4 linked regions of the Saccharomyces cerevisiae S288C genome follow. Changing the gene in region 3 together with the main gene of any one other region gives a genetic interaction. Each region holds a gene or a part of one and is shown on either strand. Other genes may lie near its edges.

Evidence for each region.
Region 1: mutations in SRT1 (region 3) and OXP1 together harm fitness more than expected from each alone (negative genetic interaction), as found in Saccharomyces cerevisiae (one large-scale study listed by BioGRID).
Region 2: mutations in SRT1 (region 3) and YIL163C together harm fitness more than expected from each alone (negative genetic interaction), as found in Saccharomyces cerevisiae (one large-scale study listed by BioGRID).
Region 4: mutations in SRT1 (region 3) and PUN1 together harm fitness more than expected from each alone (negative genetic interaction), as found in Saccharomyces cerevisiae (one large-scale study listed by BioGRID).

What each region holds. Positions count from the first base shown.
Region 1 is NC_001143.9:25,837-33,350, forward strand, and holds OXP1 (5-oxoprolinase), read right to left. Parts: upstream 4,852-7,514; coding exon 991-4,851; downstream 1-990. Other genes in the region: URA1 (dihydroorotate dehydrogenase), read left to right, coding at 1-323; YRA2 (Yra2p), read right to left, coding at 5,246-5,857; DOA1 (Doa1p), read right to left, coding at 6,124-7,514. UniProt on the Saccharomyces cerevisiae protein: Catalyzes the cleavage of 5-oxo-L-proline to form L-glutamate coupled to the hydrolysis of ATP to ADP and inorganic phosphate.
Region 2 is NC_001141.2:35,594-39,673, reverse strand, and holds YIL163C (uncharacterized protein), read left to right. Parts: upstream 1-2,421; coding exon 2,422-2,775; downstream 2,776-4,080. Other genes in the region: SMU2 (Smu2p), read right to left, coding at 1-241; beta-fructofuranosidase SUC2, read right to left, coding at 691-2,289.
Region 3 is NC_001145.3:467,165-471,796, forward strand, and holds SRT1 (ditrans,polycis-polyprenyl diphosphate synthase), read right to left. Parts: upstream 2,313-4,632; coding exon 1,281-2,312; downstream 1-1,280. Other genes in the region: MYND-type zinc finger protein MUB1, read left to right, coding at 1-998; LAF1 (Laf1p), read right to left, coding at 2,684-4,632. UniProt on the Saccharomyces cerevisiae protein: With NUS1, forms the dehydrodolichyl diphosphate synthase (DDS) complex, an essential component of the dolichol monophosphate (Dol-P) biosynthetic machinery.
Region 4 is NC_001144.5:951,531-955,855, forward strand, and holds PUN1 (Pun1p), read right to left. Parts: upstream 2,615-4,325; coding exon 1,823-2,614; downstream 1-1,822. Other genes in the region: INA1 (Ina1p), read left to right, coding at 1-1,653; YLR415C (uncharacterized protein), read right to left, coding at 2,729-3,067; ESCRT-II subunit protein VPS36, read left to right, coding at 3,480-4,325. UniProt on the Saccharomyces cerevisiae protein: Contributes to the wild-type cellular response to nitrogen stress through signaling pathways that regulate the expression of genes involved in amino acid biosynthesis. Required for wild-type filamentous growth, cell growth, and cell-cell adhesion.

The sequences.
Region 1 (7,514 bases), on a different chromosome or scaffold from region 3:
AGGAGAGTGTAGTAGTGAAGCCAAAGAATGGTTTCGGGGGTATTGGAGGTGAATATGTTAAGCCAACCGCGCTCGCCAATGTTCGTGCATTTTACACTCGTTTGAGACCTGAAATCAAAGTTATCGGTACAGGTGGAATTAAGTCCGGTAAGGATGCATTTGAACATCTTCTATGTGGTGCCTCTATGCTACAGATTGGTACAGAATTACAAAAAGAGGGCGTCAAGATTTTTGAACGTATCGAAAAAGAATTAAAAGACATAATGGAAGCTAAGGGTTATACATCCATAGATCAGTTCCGTGGGAAGTTGAACAGCATTTAATTATCGGAATTTGAAGAACTATGATGGGACAAGTTATGGAAGAGTGTTAAGATTCGTATGAATATTTTATTATTTTGAAATTGCATAAATCAAGGATAGTTGGTAAATGCTAATTCCTTAATTTTTCGGTGAGTGCATTCGCAATTGGCATCATACATTAGGGTTCAATGTGCTTTAATAGATGATGATACTAAATACTTATACTTTGAAATAACTTAATCAATGTAAATTATTGTCTTGATTCATTTATACTTAAATTTTTATATCTCAACATATGATATATCCTTACATTAAGACTTATTCAAGAAACATTTTTCAACGATAATTATTAGTAGGCTAAAAATGGCATAGGAACCAGAAAATAATGTTGAAGAAATGAAGCCATCTGTTTAATATTTGGGGAAAAAAGTGAAGAAATTAACGAATATGTGCATATATATATATATATATATATATATATATATTGCACAGGTGATTTTGATGTAGAATGTAGCCTTTTCGAAAGAGTAATTTGGTTTTATCTACAGAGTTCCGAAACATTGTTAAGTGCCTGTTCTTATATAATTAAACTGTACTTTCTGTAAAAGTCAATTTGTGGCTGGCGCATCCACGGTATACCAATGGTTCCGTGTAATTCGATATTGACTAAGAACCAAAAAGAAATGCTTTAATCCTTGTATTGTCCAAATCCCCCACCACCAGGGGTTTTAATGATGAATCGATCACCGGGTTGAGCGTAAATCGTATTTTTACCGCCGACATTGATTAATGCGCCTGTGCTATGTCTTACCCATAAATTCTCACCTCTACTACCGTCTTGTCCTCCCTTTATACCATGAGGGCCAATGACACGACGTTCTGATAATATAGATGCTGTTACAGCCTTCCGAAATTGAACATCCCTTACTACGCCATTTCCGCCAGTATATTTACCTTTGCCTCCTGAACCTCTTCTGATCGAGAACTCTTTCAACAGAACGGGGTATCTCCTTTCAAATACCTCAGTATCTGTCATTCTTGTATTGGTCATATTCGTGTGTACAGCGTCTGAGCCATTCCAACCACTTCCTCTCCATGAATCTGCACCAGCCCCCGAGCCGCCACATATGGTTTCATAATATCCAAAGCCTTTGATCTGCTTATCGGTTTTGTTACCAGAATTTCCTCCAGTTCCAAATGTAAAGTTGTTACAGTCACCTTGAGAATCTGCCATGACGTTAAATGTTTTTAAGATTACATCTGTCACTCTTTGGGAAGTTAATACATTGCCTCCGACAACAGCAGCACCGGATCGGGGGCTCAAGAGGGAACCAGCAGGAATTTTTATTGTTAAGGGTTTTAAACAACCTTGATTTAAAGGAATATCTTCGCCTACTAGACACCGTAGACAATAAAGAATCGCAGAATTAGTAATAGCCTCTGGTGCATTTAAATTACCATAAACTTGGGGAGAAGTGCCATCGAAATTAAAAATATACTCCTCTTTTTCAGGTCTTATGATAACTTGTAGTTTAATTAAGCTTCCATCATCTAAGCGATCTTCGCCAGAAAACTTCGTTGTGCCAAAATGTTCAACCATTTTTGCAAGCATTTTTTTTATGGATTCAGATGCATTTGTCTGAATTGCAGCCATGTATTTCAATATTGTAGCCAGATCATATTCCTTAGTTAATGACCCAATTAACTGTATCCCTTTTGTGTTAGCTGCGACTTGCGCTTTTAAATCGCTTATGTTATCACTAAATCTTCTTGAACCTGAGCAGCCTGGGTATTTGCCTGGATCTTCTACGAAAAGCTTGTAAATTAATTCTTCCTGGAAAATTCCCTCTTTGACAACCAATTCGGAATAAATTGCGGTTCCTTCTTCGTACAATTCTTTGGAATTTGGAGGCACTGAACCGGGTAGAATACCTCCAATATCTGCATGATGGGCTCTTGAAGCCACATAAAATATCAATTCGCCAGTTGAAGAGAAAGAAGGAGTTATTACTGTTATGTCTGGTAAATGAGTACCACCAATATCCGGATGGTTTGTGATTAAAACATCACCAGGCTTTAATTTGCCTTCCCATAACTTCGCCTGTGCTGATATGCAGGTTGACATTGATCCTAAGTGAACAGGTACATGAGGAGCGTTAGCGACTAAGTTTCCTTTAGAGTCGAATAGTGCACATGAAAAATCTAATCTCTCTTTGACGTTAGTTGAAACAGAAGTTTTCCTCAATTGAGTACCCATCTGGAGGGCGATATCCATAAACCTATGACTGAAAATAGACAATAAGATTGGATCTATATCAAGTTCATATCCGCTTTTAGATAATGTCTTCGCAGCCTTTTGGTTGATCTTGATAAATATATGAGAGTTTAAAATTGTTGCTTGGCTGTTTGGTAAAATAATATTTGTTTGGGTACCGTCAGCCAATATGGCTGGGCCCTCGATAATTGTTCCGGCAGGAAGATCATCAATTTTGAAGACCGCAGTGTCGACCCATTTGTTGTCAAAATATGCTTTCTGGGTAAAACTAGCATCCTTTGACACGTCGGCTTTCTTGAAATGGGAAATTTCAATCAATTGCTCATCAACCGTTTTTTCTTTTCTAACGCCTGATTTCCCAATTGCTCTTATCCTTATATCATCAATTATAATTCGTTTGTCATCGAATGAGAATCCGAACTCTTTTTTATGAGCTTCAGAGAACCATTCCCTAAAATTCCATTGGTCATCATATTTTTGTAATATCATCAAACTGGTTTCAGTACCTTCATATCTGAGATTTAAATATCTTTCCAAGACTATGTCCTCCCGAGAAAACGACTGAGATAAAAGGTTTTTGATTGAATTTTTAGAAAGTTCTAAGAATCTTTTTTTCACTTTCAAGATGGTCTCTGGCTCACCCAAGATAAAAGAGCAAGGCTCTTGGTTTTCTTCAATAACATCTGCTAAGAAAATGCCATAAGCGGACAAGATAGAAGAATATCTATGAATTAAAACAGTGTCAATGCCCAATGAATCTGCAACCGCTATGGCGTGTTGCCCGCCAGCCCCGCCAAAGGAAACTAACCGATGCTGAGATACTACATGTCCTTTTGCTTCTGTAATGGCCCTCACAGGTCTTGCCATGCATTCGTTAGCTACTTTGATAAATCCATAGGCAACCTCTTCCATGGTTAGATTTGAATTCAGATCCTTATTGATGACATCTGTTAATTCTCTGAATTTCAAAGTAGTGGTTTCTAAGTCAAGTGATTCATCCTCATTGGGCCCAAAAATTTTGGGGAAGAACTCAGGAACCAAACGTCCTAAAAAGAGGTTGGCGTCTGTAATGGTCAAAGGCCCGCCCTTTCTGTAGGCTGCAGGGCCTGGATCAGCAGCTGCTGAATCAGGGCCTACTCTGAATAACCCGTTTTTCCATGACAAAATAGAACTTCCTCCAGCAGCAACAGTATGGATGTCAAGTTGAGGAGATTGTATGATGATCCCTGCGGTAACAGTTTCAAAAACATGTTCTAACCTCCCATCGCCGTACCTACTGACATCAGTAGATGTTCCTCCCATGTCAAAGCCTATTAAGGGTATGTTATTATTTTTATCATAGCATGTACTAGAATAACCTATTACGCCACCTGCAGGACCAGATAAAATAGATTTCAAACCGGAAAATTTTCCCCCATCCACTAAACCACCATCAGACTGCATGAATTGAATGTGGGTATCTTCTGCGTGGCTCAAACCTGCAGAAATGCTATTCAAGTACTTTTTAATTACCGGAGTAAGGTAGGCATCTGCGACAGAACTGTGAGCCCTCGGTAAAAATTTTATCATTGGAGAGACTTCAGATGATAATGAAACATGAGAAAACCCAATCTCCCTGGCAATATTACCAACAATTCGCTCATGGTCTGGAAAAGTGTATGAGTGTAAAAATGCTATCGCAATAGACTTGATTCCGCTAGCATAAAGCACTTTCAGAATAGATCTTACGCTTGATTCATCTGGCTTCTTTATGACCCTTACCATTTCGCCACTATTACCTTCCAGGATACCTTCTTGTTCATTAGGAGACGATTTGGTAAAATAAGGGTCTTCCGAGAAATCTTCTAAAGTAACTCTCTCATCTATTTCAACTACAGTGTCATATAATGGCACTACCTTTTTTATATTTAAGTTGAAGATATCTGGCCTGGTTTGGTCTCCAATCAGCAATGAATCCTTAAAGCCTTTCGTAGTAATGAAGGCACAACGTTCACCATTTCTTTCTAGAGCGCAGTTTGTAGCTAGGGTTGTCCCCATTCTTAAACTTCTCACATTAGAGATGTCTAGAGGAATACCGCGAGGAATTGTCTTGTGTTCAAGCACCTCCAAGAGACGTCTTATGCCTTCAAGGGGAGCATCTGGATAGTTTTTGGGATCCACCGACAAGAGCTTGATGACAGTATCATGTTCTTGTTTACCTGTACCAATATTCCCCACACAATCAGTGAAAGTTCCACCCTTATCGATGGCAATTCTTATGTTTCCTTTCTGCATTGTATACCAAGAAGTTATATTTAGGTTTTCAATGCTCAAAATTATTACTGTTTAAGTTCAGTTCTTAGTTTTTGGCATTCTTTCTTCAACACCACGTAACATTTGATCTTATCTTTCTTTTCAGTGGTAATGTTATGGCGATCGTGCTCAATCGGAAAAGCACCTGAGGCAAACAAAACAATTGTTGAAGTATTCATGCAAATAATACTGAATAGAGCGGAGTACGCTTGTTCTTAATTCCAGAGATTGGTAAAGTGTTTATCATTGCTACCCTCTAGAAATAAAAATTAATTATTTAGGTAAAAAGTAGTACTGAGGTTTCATATCTGTAGACTGATGGAGTAAAAAAACATTGAAAAGACTATAAAGAAATTATAAGTAGATACACAATTGCTTAACCTTTCATGTAAGCATCTAATTCAGCGTCAAGAGCTTCGACAGAAGTAGGAGTGTTATTCTTCTCACGGCCCTTGTTCTTTTTGGAGACTCTGTTAGGCTTTTGGCGATAATGGCTCCCTGGCCTGCCTCTTCCGTGTTCTTGAGCCGTCTGTTTGCGACGGTTGTGGGCATTCATTCTAGAATGCTTTCTCTGTGGTTGGTAAATCTCCACTTCAATTTTTGCATTATGTAACTCATGTCCATTATAACGCTCGACAATCTTTTCCAAAACTTCTGGGTCTTCAAATTCGTAAATACATGTACGATCCTCTTTATTGTCAAAAATTTTCGAAAATATTGGCGAGCCAAACTCTTTAATCATATCATCGAGGGTGTAGTCAGAAACGTCTAGTGGGATTTTGGATATTCTAATTCTCTTAGGCAAAGGAGGCTCTTCCCTCTCTCTATAAAGGCGATCTTTCGACCTTGATGCAGCATCCGAAGGCGCAAATCCCAGTCTAGGTCCTAATTCATTTCTTAAATCCCTTCTGCGGTATCTCGTTACCTTATGATTAGATGAGCTGTCTGTGTGACTATTTCCAATAATTTCGTCAAATGCTTTGTCCATTGCAAAATGCAGTATTGAATCGTCTAATGGAAAAGGTACTAGACGCTTATCGTTTCAGTTTTTTAGTCTTTTCCATCTATTTATCAGTCTGTACTCAAAATAACCTTATTGTATGTAACCTTTTTCATTTCACGATGATAATTTCTTGCCGAGTTAGACAGAAAATGACCGTGATAGTTTGTCATAATTTTCAATAGGGCAGAAAGAATTTTAAAGATTATTTGCTATCTAGACATTATGTGTTTTATATGATTGCTGTAAAAGTATTAGGAGAGATCGTCGAAAATATCCTTAAACCTTGGCACGTTCCCATAGCTCCTTTTGATGTTTGCAAGCCAAGTTACGGAGTTGGCAAATTGTCTTAATGTAGGTTCAACAGTAGCCAAATTTCCGTAAGCTACGGTTAGCCTATATGCGGCTTCTTCGCATTCTTGATACTCTTCCAATGGCCCATACTTGGTGTTGATGGCGTCAGCTACGATAGGCAAAAGTTCTAAATCAGAGTTCCCTTTCGTGACGAGAGCTGAATAGTTGAAAATTAGTGTGGAAACTGCAATAGCCAAATTCTGTGACTGTTTAGCAGATGCCTGAGAAAATTCAGTATCTATAGTCTCAAAAATTGATTTATAAACTTGATTTGATTCCAGTAATTTCACACCCCAGTTTTCATTATTGAAGCAATTTACCAAAATACGCACAGTTAACATGGTTAGAGTGATATTCTTATTGCCCAAGCCTTCTTCGATGTAATCTTTTATATCTGAAGAATAAGGTAATTTTTTTACAATCAATCGTACTATGTCGTATGCAGGAGTCTTAATTTCCCAGTTAGATCTTATAGTGTTAGCAAATGAAAGTAGCAACTCCCAGCTTTCATCTATGTCATGTAGTGCGCCACCAATTTGCGCCAGAATTTCATCATCAAAGGTCTTCTCATTTGAATTTATTTTTACTATTCCATTGAAAATAGTATCTGGGTTATAATTTTCCATGATAAGATACTGCTTGACAGGAAGAACCTTCATTACGCTCGTTTTTGAAGGTGATACTGCAGAAGATGATGCATTATCGTTGGGCTGGTCTAGCGATATGCCATTAGTGTTCTTCAGTATGAACTGTACTACTTGATCCCTATAACTCATTGGCAGTTCATAACGAGCCAAAAAATTGTCGGCTGCTGTATATGGGTTGTCGCTGACATTAATCGGCAATTTCAAGGGAGGTTTTCCATCTTCAATATCCACATCAAATACGTAGTCATACGTTTTACCCTCGAATTCTATTTTTTTGTCGTTTCCAGTAGCACCTGCACCGACAACATCACCAACCTTTTTCCATGAAGAATTTGAAAATTGATGAGCTTCTATAGTACCTTGAGGTGATTTGACTACCACAATTTGACCCTCTTTGCGCCCCGGCGATTGTAAAATTTCATAAGGTGATAGTTTAGACTCATCAAATTCTATTGTCTTGGAACTTATAGTGGATTTTTCCACTTGCGTAGATAGTTCATTTATTTCATCCTCGGAAGCCCATCTTGACTTCTCTTGCGAAAATATTCTCACAAGATTATCACTACTTCCCACAATAATATCACCATTAGACATACAATCAACGGACCAAATAGAGATGGCAGGAAGTGTAATTACCTGCTTTA
Region 2 (4,080 bases), on a different chromosome or scaffold from region 3:
TTCTGTTTTTCGCTTGAGATTTCTCGACTCTCACTTCTTCCCCTCCAGTCACAGGTTTAGGTTCATTTTGTTCCTTTGTCTCTGTCTTCTTATTTCTGTTTCGATTTTTATTCCGCTTTTTATTTCCATTTTTAGCTTTATTTGTGCTCTCCTCATTCCCGATTGGAGTTCCTTCGTTTCCCAAACCAGAAGCTTTTCCCTGAGATTTTTTAGCTCCTGTTACAGATAGCTTGGTATCCATTTCCCTCACTACTTCTTTTTGAGAACACTTTTACGTAGAAGACAACGCTTTTTTTTTTTACAATATGGTATACTTCTACTTAATGCTTTTAAATTTTCACATAACTAATACTTTACCCGGTTTCATTGTGTCAGTAACAAAACAGATAAAGGCAAAAAGGTCCATCCTAGTAGTGTAAGGCAACTACATTACGATTGTGGGTTTATTACGTGAAAAAATGATGTCTATTGCAAAGTAGTAAAAATTTTTAAGAGAATTATACTTATATAAAGTACATAAAGAACAAATTCCAGGTAACTGGGGTCGGGAGAAAATAAAAATAAAAATACATTTTCAATGGTTTGGAGGTATTCTTTGAAATCATAAAGTTTTACATTCGTCACTCGTTAGCTAAAGCCCTTTAGAATGGCTTTTGAAAAAAATAAAAAAGACAATAAGTTTTATAACCTCTATTTTACTTCCCTTACTTGGAACTTGTCAATGTAGAACAAATTATCGACACCAGTGGTCATGTTCACAGATCCTAGAGCGTTACCGGTGGTCATGAAGTAGGTATTTGTAGAAACCACATCTCCATCGTTGAAGTACAATTCCAAGATGTTTTGATCCAGTAGGCCGTACACTTTATAGTAACTTAGGTCGTTCTCAGACTTGAATGGTTGGTTGTTGACAGACATTCTGTTTGTGAAATATGGGTTCTCCTTGACAAACTTGACCTTAGAGTTACCACGGTCCAAAAAGAAGGAAGAAGCACTGACTTCAAAACCCATTCTCAAATATTCTTCAGGATCTTCTAAACCCTTGAACCAAAGTGATAAGTCGGCAAAGACGGATTTGGATATGGTTTGTGTGGTGTTAACAGCGTAAACCAACTCAAACTCTAGGGTACCAGTCGAGTTGCTCAAATCGACATTGTAAGAATTGGCCTTAGTTAGAGTTGTGTTAGTAGCAAAACGAGACCAGGGACCAGCATTACTAATGTTCAATATTGGTTCGGCTTTCAAATTGATCAATTCAGTCTCTGGATTAGCTTGATATTCAGTGTTCAAAGAAAACTTGCGGACCAAAGACATGGATGATCTCCATGGGTTAGTTGGGACAAAGGCACTGTACTCCCAGTTTGAAGCCCAGGCAATACCTAATGCTGAACCGTAGGTTGGGTCAGTGTTGAAGAAAGTTTGCAAGGCATAGTAGTCCTTACCAAAATCTACCACTCTAGATTGATTGTCAAACGCTTCAAAATGAGTACCATTGAAGGATCCAACAAAATATTGGTTGAAGGAACCGCCAGCAGGTGCACCTGGGTTGATAGAAATAAACATGACCCAATAAGATTTGGAAGGATCTTGCTCAGTTGGGACTTCAATCAAACCTGGACATTCGTATTGGTAGCCTAAGAAACCTTCATTGGCAAATGCAGATTCTAGCTTCCAGGACTTCAAGTCATCAGAGGAGTAAATTTCAATTTTGTAGTCTTGTGATTTGGCAGCCGTCATAATCCATTTTTGAGAAGGTTCATACCAGAACACCTTTGGATCTCTGAATTGAGTGGAGTTGGCAGCTAAAACAGGGTTCTTTTGGTATTCAGTAAAAGTGTAACCACCATCAAGAGAATAGCTAATGTATTGCTCTTCACTTTCAGGAGTGTTATAAGTCCAAATCGCAACGCATCTTTGTCTTGGATCAATAGTATCATTGAAAAACCCACTCGTGTTGTTGTAATCAACCACCATGGAGCCAGAGAAAGCACCTGAATCGTTACGCTTGGGAGCGATAGCAATGGGTTGATCTTCCCAATTAGTCAAATCATCGGAAGTAGCATGGCCCCAAAACAATGGCGTACCCCATACGGTGTCATTTGGGTTGTATTGAAAGTACAGATGCCATTTGGCATCTTTTTCATCGTACCACAACCCATTTGGGTCATTCATCCAGCCCTTGTTGGGTGTGAAGTGGACCAAAGGTCTATCGCTAGTTTCGTTTGTCATTGATGCAGATATTTTGGCTGCAAAACCAGCCAAAAGGAAAAGGAAAGCTTGCAAAAGCATCATATACGTTAGTGAAAAGAAAAGCTTTTTGTTTTGCTTGTTTCTCTGAGAGAAAAAAAAAAGTAAGATATATGGTAAAAAAAAAGCACAAGAACAAGAGAATGTTTTGAAGAATAATACATATCTATTTATATGTTTCTTTTCAGGAGGAAGGATTATAGGATCGAAATCCAAAAAAAAAAAGTCGTCAAATCTTTCTTCCAAATGGTTTACTATAGAGCCCTTAGGCAACATTTTTGTCAAACAAAGTCGTTTAAGCATTCCTCGAAAAGAAACGTCTCTATGATGGTAATAGGCAAACATCGGGCGTACCTTAAAAGTCTTAGACATCACATAAAGGGATTTATAATCACATTCCTCGTCAGTTTTTCCAGAAACCTCCATGGAAAAACCCTGGACGTGGGGTCGATTAACGCTACGCGTATTTCTTCGCCCCCGGATAATTTCCTAAACTGGGTTTTTTCTTTTTATTCCTGTTCAGAGTAATAAAAATGCGGGGAATAATGGAAGCCCTCATAATGGATCGAGTTCAACAAAGGCACGCCTTTGGTAGAAGAATACTGTGGGCCTTTCTAACGTAGCATACCGACTGGTAATTTGCTCACAAACTATTCTAAATGACGTACTTTTTTGAGCTTTGCTGGGGGAGCGAGAACTACGCTAGGACAACAACTCCCATACGGTAAATGTCTTAGTATGTCGTGCTTGTACAAACGAAACATGATAAAATGGATACCTTCGACAGCTCACCGTGCCCCTGTCCTTTGTTCATTGGGAAACCTCCTGCCGTAATTCTACATACTATACTCGATACCCGAGATTGTGACGTGTGGATGCTAAGCCCCTATAACCTCAAACTTTTTAGCTTGGAAAGGCACTTAACTCAATTATAGGTTGTTGCGAATTCTGAATTTTTACAGCTACTTCTGTAGGGAATTCAGACCTCCGTACGGTATCTCCCTGTTTACTACAGGGGAAAACTTAGTTTTTTTTTTACTATAGTATATGCAAGGCCCTGAAGCTCCATGATATTTCGTAGATTATTCGGCTTCCTATTCAAGGCAATGTCTAGCCGTTTAATGTGCGACGGCATTAGCAAAGCTTCTTCAGTTAATAACTTTTCTACGTTCTTTAGCGCATTAATAGACTGATCGTCTATTACCATCGTGGAAATGAGGTATAGCACCTAAGAATACAGCGAAGGAGGTCTAACTGCTTCCCAGAAGTCACAGGAAAATAAACTTTTTTTTTTTATTTTCCGCTTTTTTCATAAACTTCTTTCACACTTTCCGCTTTTCCATACTTGGTAAATGCACATAATGCTATTGTAATATACAACCATGATTTCACTTCCCCTGGCGCAACAGTATGTTGTTAGCTATGATACAAAAATTTTTTAAGGCCATTTGAAAGCATCAATTTCTCAGAACACACTTCATCTACTGCAAAAGAAGACTTTCGAAGAAAAGTACAAATTGCGACGAACTACTTTCATAGTAACAAAATGAACAGTGACATTGAAAAGCAGAGAATGTTGAACATAGGCTAATTTTACGTTCTCACAGCCTGGCTAGCACCTAGAAACGACGCATGCTGCCATGTTAGTAGTCAAACAAAATTGAAGTGAGGCTCAAAATAGTTTGAATGAACACAACAAAACATTGGATAAGCTGTCATGCTACATTAGCAATACAAAAACCCGCACCCCGTAGTCACGTTCGCCTTCGCAGCTTTTTAAAAATGGCAAAGAGTCTGACTTATGCTCTGTTGACATTTAAGAGATACAATGAA
Region 3 (4,632 bases):
TCCCCAAACAAGACGACGTTATATGGTCGCTTCAGTTATTAGCTTTTGTTTCGAAGTATACATATATGAAATCAACCCTTCAAAATGTTGAGCTGGTTGAATCCCTATCGTTCAGAAGTATGGCTTACAAAATTAAACAGAGAATCTCAGAAGAGAATGACTTAGAAGAACAAGAAAGAGACGTAACTGTAAAATTGTCTTCATTATATCCTTATTTATCGAAAAATCCTGAAAACAATTCCAAAGTTAAGGCACTAGATACTAGCAAAATGGATCCATTTTTCAAAGAATTAGAAGAACTCTCAAACAGATGTCAACAAGAAGAACAAAATGAAATATGTAATAACCACTGTCCCGTTCTTAATTTGTTTGAGCGCTACCGTGTACCGAAACCTAGCGACGACAATGCCTATGGCAAAGACAAGGAAAGAATTAATTTAAGGAAGAAAATATCTGATAACTTTGAAAGGCGCTGGAGCTACGATAAAATGAAAAAGGAATTAACAAATATTGTTTACAAAAACAAGGTACTAACAAATGTTGTAAACATCTTCCCCTTAGTCGAAAAATATACAGTGAGCGCAGAAAATACACATGATGTTATATATTGGAGTTCTGTCATCATGAGAAATTCATGTCGAAAAAATGAGATCTTAGGTGTGCGTCAGTGTGCCAATTTTTCGTGCGGAAAATGGGAAGATTTTCCAAGACAATTTGCAAAATGTCGTCGATGCAAAAGAACGAAATATTGCTCACGAAAGTGTCAATTAAAAGCATGGGGATATCATAGGTATTGGTGTCACGAAGTTGGATCAAGTCATATGAGATCCACGAATACTACCACAGGTGTCAATACCCCAAATGAGCCTAGTTCTTTAAATGCCACCGCTACTACAGCAGCTGATGTTTCGAATTCTACCAGTACGTTCACTCCTAATATATCCACCACCGTACCTGATGAAATAAGCAATAGGGATGAAAATAGCATACCTGAGTAAAGTACAAGGGGATTTCGATGACCTAGGTTTAACAAGATCATGAAATATTCATTAACGGAGTTTTTTGTTTTCGCTTTTTTTATTTTTTGTTCCTAATTTTTTTTTTTTTTACATTTTATTAGCTATACACTTGGCGCAAGGATATTTTATATACCGGATATAATAGATAATTAAAAGACTACTAATTAAAAATGATGTAATATGGTAATAGGTATGGAAGAATCAGGGAGTTTTCAGAATGTTCTTTGCCCTCTCTTGGGCTTTCTAGTTTTGCACTTTTACTTATTCATCTCCTGTAACCGAAACTGAAATGGGGGGGTTTGGAAAGTTGTACAAAGACATAGCTGTTTTCTTTTTTTTAAATATTGAAGGAACGCTTTCATGTATTTTTTCAAACAATGAGTGATTCTTCTCATTATATTTTTGAATGGTGGAAAAGAAGGACCATTTGAGAATCATCAGGTACATAGCAAAGAAGCTAAAATTTGGCCACAACGTATCACTAAATTCAATGGTGGCATTTTCATGTACTTGCCATAGCATATAGTCTGAGAGCCTCCTATGCCCACTTGTTCTGATTAATAATTCACATTTATTGGAATGGAAACCCATGTACATTTTATTAGTAAATTTTCTTATATTAATCCTTGGTGATTTATTTTCCAAATGGTCTTCAACTGAATCACGAATAGTATGTAACATATCATTTCTTGAAGTGTAAGGAAAACATATAAATAAAGTGAAATCGTCTCCATCCTGTGTGATTTCTTCCACTTTTTTAATTTTTTTTCTCATTTCTGGAGATAGTAAAGATTGATCACCTACTATTCTTATTTTAGATCCGTATAAGGGATCCTTATAGTCCTTGGCTCTTTTTGCGAATTCATCAAGCTTTACCGTAAACAAATTCATTAGCGTATCTACTTCTTCTTTTGGTCTATTAAAATTTTCAATAGAAAATGCATAGGCGGAAACACATTTTACACCCAATCTTTTGCAGATATACAGTAGTGTTAGTAACGTTAACCCACCAGCTTCATGGCCTTTTTTTACTGGTAGCCTTCTTGACTTGGCATATCTCCGGTTACCATCCATGATAAAGGAGACATGTTCAGGCACTGGCCCTACCCTTAATGCTTTTATCAAAATATTCTGAAGATTTACATAAAACCATGAAAACAAGCTTAATGACATAACCCACGCAAATACTCTCTGAAATATACTTTTCACTGCGAAGCACATCTGTTCTTTGGTTTCTACCAAAAGCCTTTTTAGGGCTACAAACTGAATCTGAATAATACTGGGCATTTTCATTATGGTCAACAGAAACGTCCTATGTTTGAAAGGCAGCCTGTTCTTTATAAGTTGATAAATTGAGAAAAGTGCACCAAATCTTAATCTACTCTGTGTGTATTTTTAGGTCCCTTAAATAACAGAAAAAGTATAGCTTTAGCCGCCGAGGTCCACTCAGTTTGGAGTAGTTACCCTTAACAGGCACTCACTCCGTTTTGTTCTTTCGAAGAGATACGTTATAGTATATCGGCAACAAATGATAGGCTCATTGTTAGCGTTCATTAATTATTAGATTAAAATTTATTTAAGTGTATCGTGTTTCTTTACTTTATGTACGAAGATTAATATGCATTTAAAGGTATCATCCACGGAAAAAAAATACTCCATCAGCGTTAGCGGAAGTTATTAACTACTGTACCGCAGTCTACGCAATAATAGTTTCTATCTTGTTGGTCATTAGCACCAGAAAAAGCCTCAAACCTTGAACCGTTACAAACATTGCAACGGATAGGTAAATTCATTGCGCTCGTTGGAGTGGTAGGCCCATGTGCATTGGAGAAAATAGATGACATGCTTTCCCTTGGTGTTCTTGGCTGTGCATTACTGCCGAGTGTTTTTAGTGATGTACTGCTTTTGGGACATATATTAGAGTATCCACGTCCCGTTGCATAGCCTTTTCCAGTATTAGTATACGCCGCTGCCGGTTGGCCAGCCAAGTTTGATTTCGCTCTCGAGTTGAAGCTTCGACTCAAAGAATGCAAAGAATCAGAACTGTTAAACCTTCTCCGAACCTCTCTATTGTATTCTTCTAGTTTGAGTAACACGCGCTTTCTTATAACAGAGGGCATATCTGCTCTAAACACACGAATAGTCCCTACGTTATCAGTACTGATCAATATCGTTCCAATTGCGTCAACGACATCTGGGATAGCACTGGTGGCGGAAGCATTAGAAATTGAGCCTGGTTTAGAATTGTAGCCCAAAGACGACTCTACATCTGACATTATGCCATCGTCGTTACTCCGACTCAAAACATCGAAACTATCGGATGTCTGAAAAAACTCTAGAGATAGCTCGCAGATAACATCGTTAGACAAAGATAATGTTTTCGAAGTTTCTGGCGGTGCAATGCTAACACAAGTAACAGGGGCATTGTGTGCATGAAAAGAAATGTAATCCGTATTTTTGATATAATGATCGTTGCTATGATGAGGCAAGGGAAGTAAGTTAGTAAGTTTTAAATGATGATGTGGTTTTTCTTCGTTATTCTGGCTGGAAGACCTACTCATTGATTTACTAAATATGCTTCTCAAACTTCCGGACCGAGCCAATCCCTTTGGTTTCCTTTTAGGTTCGTCTTGATCATTCTCTCTATCCGAAGACTTTAACCTCCAGCCGTAAACCCAATGGTCATCACTACTATTTACAACGATTGGCTGACCATGCCAGATGGACAATTGTGCCTTGTGTTGGGAAGATCCGCTATGGAAGCCTTTCAATACCTCTAGAAGCTTCCTCTGTTCTAAGTCAAAAATTCTTATCCTCGAATCATTCGATGTAACTACTAAGCGGAAAGAATTGTCCAGTTGAGATCTAAAAGCTTGCAAACCCGTCACACGTGGACCATGACGAATTTTTGAGTCAGTTTCCGTGACCATGACGTGAGCGTTTTGTTCTTGTGTTTGTCTATCAGCTACGTGAAATGAAGAAACTGGAGTGAGACCTCTGGTCATCAGAATATGAACGTATCCATTAAATGTTCCTATTATAGTGTATTTTCCCTCCTCAGGGGATAATGTAACAGATGTTATTAAGTCTTGACAATCGTACTCAAAGCTAACTTCATCATCCAGTATAGACCATAACCTGCATTTGTGATCCAGACAGCCGCTAATGAAAAATCTATCGTCGGTGGGGTGAAATTCCACACAAGTGACAAAATCAGGATGTATGAATGTCTTAAGTGAATTTTTCCTATCGGGATGCCATAGTTTTACTGTCTTATCCATCGATGCTGACAAAATAAAATTATTTTTAGACCAATTTATATCCAGAACATCTTGCACGTGTTCTTTATACAGTCGCAAAGGCGTTGGGTGAAAGACAGGCGCATACAAATTCAATAATTTTTCCTTCTCTTCGTATTTCTCTGTAGCAGAATCCAAAAATTGTTTTTCTTTTGGATTGTTCAATGAACTGACCTGCTGTTTGATCCGCATCGACTTGGCTCGTGCCTCTTTATTTGATTCCGCACTCGAGTCCAATTCGGCTCTTTCAACTGGAGAGCCAATAACTTTCCATATTCTTATTTTACCATCTTTGCTACCAGTGGCCATAAATT
Region 4 (4,325 bases), on a different chromosome or scaffold from region 3:
ACTACCACGACCTTCTCCGCTCTTGATGAGTTATTGACTACCTCTAAAAACACAACCGAACTCTTGGATGGGTTTAGCACATTGATGTCATCTATGTCAACCAACACTTCTTCTACTTCGGCTTCCTTAGAAAATACTGTTCTAACCCTATTAGTGGATTCGACCAATCCTATAGGCACTACTGAGTCTTTGATCACTTTAAATAATATGACCACAGAAGAAAAGACAAAATTGTCGCCTGTATTCGAGTTATTCGCAAGTTCCAAGAACATTACTGCCACATGCGATGCGTTAGAAACCATAATGAACTCTACCATTCCAACTTCAACGGTCTCCTCATTGTTTTCTAGTCTAAAAACCAGTCTTGCGGAAGGTGGCAATGCTACTGAAACTATTATGCAATTAGGCTCCCTCGTTCCTTCGAGTTTAAAACCAGCTGTCCAAGCTGTTGTTACTCTGTTTGATGAAACTACATCTCAAAATGTAACATTATCCGTATTGAGCACTATGATTGCCGAAAACATTACCCAATCATCTTCCGCTAAAGCTGCCATGGGTGCTTTGACTGACTTGTTGAATTACACTACAAACCAAACAGAGCTGCTAACATCTGTCGAAAGTTTGGCCCTCTCTAAAGAAGCCGCTTCCTCTACTAACCAATTGGTGGCACTTGATGAAATCCTTTCTGCAAGTGCTAACGCATCCACAGTTGTTTCCATAATCCCTACTTTGGAATCCCAATTGGCCAATAACACCGTATTACTTAAGTACGTTCCATACTTGTTCAGCCTATTAGCTGCGTCAAGCGACCCCGTGTCAAGTTTCTCTTCTCTGGTTAATATCACCAAATGGGCAGAAACTAATGCCGCTACATTTATGCCCATGTTGAAAATTTTAAACTCTGCTGTAAACATGACAACTATCACACCAGAACAACTCAAGGAAATGACTCCTTCTATCCTTGAATATCTACACATCCCTGTCATATACCGTTTGTCCATTTTCACAATGTGTCGTGCTCACTTAAACAGAACAATGTACTCGTGTAGCAAGTCACACGCTGTTCAAAACATGGATTTCCGGTCGATTGTTTACAACAACATTGAAGGCTCGGACTTTAAACCTTATATGGATGCCCTGAACATCGGTAAGGACGATTTGCATTTAGATGGTGAATTACAAGACAGACAACACATGTATGTCCCAGCAGTGAAAGCAGCTTTAGCTATGAACTTAATGTGCATAATCACATCCTTCTTCTTAATGGTATTCTTGTTGCTACTAAGTAGACGTTCCGTGGTGAGTCAAAAATTATGGTTGGCATTGGGCTTTATTTCCTGTTGGATATGTATTTTCAGCGGGTTGGGAAGCACAATCTTTAGCGTCATCCTTAATATGATGAAATCCGGCTCCAAGAAGGACAATTACGATGTCATTATTTCTGGCTCTTCTCCATTTTATGGCCTAATGTGGTCTGGATTTGTATTTGCCGTCCTTGTATTTCTCTGCATTGCATACTGCTGGTGGAGCAGCAGAAAGGGAGCTGCCATCGTGGAAGCTGAGAAAGCTGTTCAAGAAAGTGACTCTACTACCTCAAGAATCATTGAAGAACACGAAAGCCCCATTGATGCTGAAAAAAACTTTGCAAGGTAAAATAATAAAAAGAAGATCATGCAACATCACCCCGTAAATTTTTTCAATTCTCCATCCTTTTAATTTTCTTCATTATAATTTTCTGAATTGTATATAGACAATATATTTTAATCATATTTAATATGAAACGGAACACAAAAATTAATTAATAACCTTGCCTTTTTCAAATTCAAATCAATGGTTTTTCCTCAATTGGAGCGTTCGCATAGATGACGGTGGGCCTCGATCTCACGCTACACCATAGAATGAAATTCAGTAATGCTCCAACGACAGCCCCCCACATCAAACCCTGGTAGTTCCTACCAATGCTCATTGAAATACCGTAATCACTATAGTTATGCTTTAGGATGTATTTGATGTATGAGTAAGTGCCCAAACACGAACCTATACTGACTAATAGGGCGGCAAAGGCGAAAAATGAAAAAAAGGCACCAAACCACGTTAGCGGCCTTATGTGGATGATCCAGCGCAATACGTTGAACACTAGATTCACAAAGGTCAAGACAATACCAATAAGAATGGTAATGAACATACACTTGACCAAATTGTTGTAGTATGTCATTTTACTTTTTAGTTTTTCGGGCAAAACAACACTGGCCACGGAATCCATAAGCTCCAGAGCCTCATTGTTGTTGATATTGTCATACACTAATGACGATAGGTTAAAATTCTGGATACCGTGAGGCGAAGAACATGATTGGATGTTATGCGAGGAGTCCACTGTACAGTACGACCAAAGCCCTATATTTATATATGAGGGCAGGCCCAACGAAGATAGCGTAGCAGAACTCAAAGAAGGGAGCACCGTCGATACCTTCATCTGCGACAGATCCAATTCTGCACAGTAAATTTTATTTATGGGACTGTAATTTTTCGTTGATCCTGCGCATGCAACAATGGCTAATATAAGTGCTCCTAGCGAAAATATAGCTGCAAAAAATAACGTGAAAAAATTCCTCATGCTTATAGCGTCCTTCGATGATGTGTTTGTTTTTTTCTTAATAGTTCTCTATTGCTTTAATCAAGTTTCACTACTGCGCAGCGTTGTATGATCTTGATCTAGTTTCTTTTAGTTCTACTTCCAAACAACTGGTCCAGAATGAAACACCACTGGACACTCATTGACTACTGAGACATGGAAGAGCAACATTCTCGCGTATATATACTTCTCAGCCAATTTTCCTGCGAGAAGCGCTAAAAATACCGAGCTGGGCTTGGCTGATAGTACGCCCGATTTGGAAATAACGCTCGAGGCGTGCTGCGTCCTTTTTTGCCTGGCCAGGCCAGGCCGGGTTGTCCCGCACCATTCAACGGCGGCTATCTGGCGATGTTGAAAGAGGGGGGGAGTGGAGAGGGCTCTGAGGGTCAAGTGGGAGGCTGTGACAGTTCTCATAAGCTGGGCACTGAGATACATGGAAAGAAATAGGCTGTTCACAGTGTACGTCAATGTGTGGCTGACTAACCGTTAGCGGGGCGGAACCGACATGTCTGGTGCAGTGTATGTAAGAAAAAAAGAATGACAATGCATGGCCAAACTTTTGATCTGTGACGTTCGCAAAACGCACTACTTTGCTTTCTGTATGCAATGGGAATGAGGCGTAGCGACATATTAAGAAGCCTTTTCCATGTGAGGAAGCTTCGCCTTGTTTTCCAGACGCGCTTTTTTTAGGATCAACGAAGAGGAAAAAGGGTTTCACATGTTTCATCTGGAAAAGATGGAGACTGAAAAACAAAAAAGCAGAGAAAAGGTCATCCAAGATAGAATAGGGGACCTCGGCTAGGAATCAGGAAGTGTGTTTTGAAAGTCATTCTTTTTTTTTCAAAAGATGGAGTACTGGCATTATGTGGAAACTACGTCATCGGGCCAACCTCTTCTTCGAGAAGGTGAAAAAGATATCTTTATCGATCAGTCCGTAGGTCTTTACCATGGCAAATCTAAGATTCTACAGCGACAGAGGGGCAGAATCTTTTTAACGTCACAAAGAATTATCTACATCGACGATGCAAAGCCCACTCAGAACTCGCTTGGGTTGGAATTGGACGATCTAGCGTATGTAAACTATTCATCTGGCTTCTTGACCAGATCACCTCGTCTGATCCTGTTTTTCAAGGACCCCTCCAGTAAGGATGAACTTGGTAAAAGTGCGGAAACAGCAAGTGCCGACGTTGTTTCGACGTGGGTCTGCCCCATCTGTATGGTTTCGAACGAAACGCAGGGGGAATTCACTAAAGACACTCTACCTACACCCATTTGTATCAATTGCGGTGTGCCAGCGGACTATGAGCTCACCAAGTCGTCTATAAATTGTTCTAATGCAATCGACCCGAACGCCAACCCACAGAATCAGTTCGGAGTGAACTCTGAGAACATTTGCCCCGCCTGTACTTTTGCTAATCATCCTCAAATAGGAAATTGCGAGATTTGCGGCCACAGATTGCCTAATGCATCCAAAGTACGATCAAAGCTGAACAGGCTAAACTTTCATGATTCTAGGGTCCATATTGAGCTAGAAAAAAATTCACTGGCTAGAAACAAGAGCTCGCACTCGGCATTATCGTCCTCGTCCTCGACAGGATCATCGACAGAATTCGTGCAATTGAGTTTCCGCAAATCTGATGGCGTATTGTTTTCACAAGCTACAGAGAGGGCTTTGGAGAATATACTCACTGAA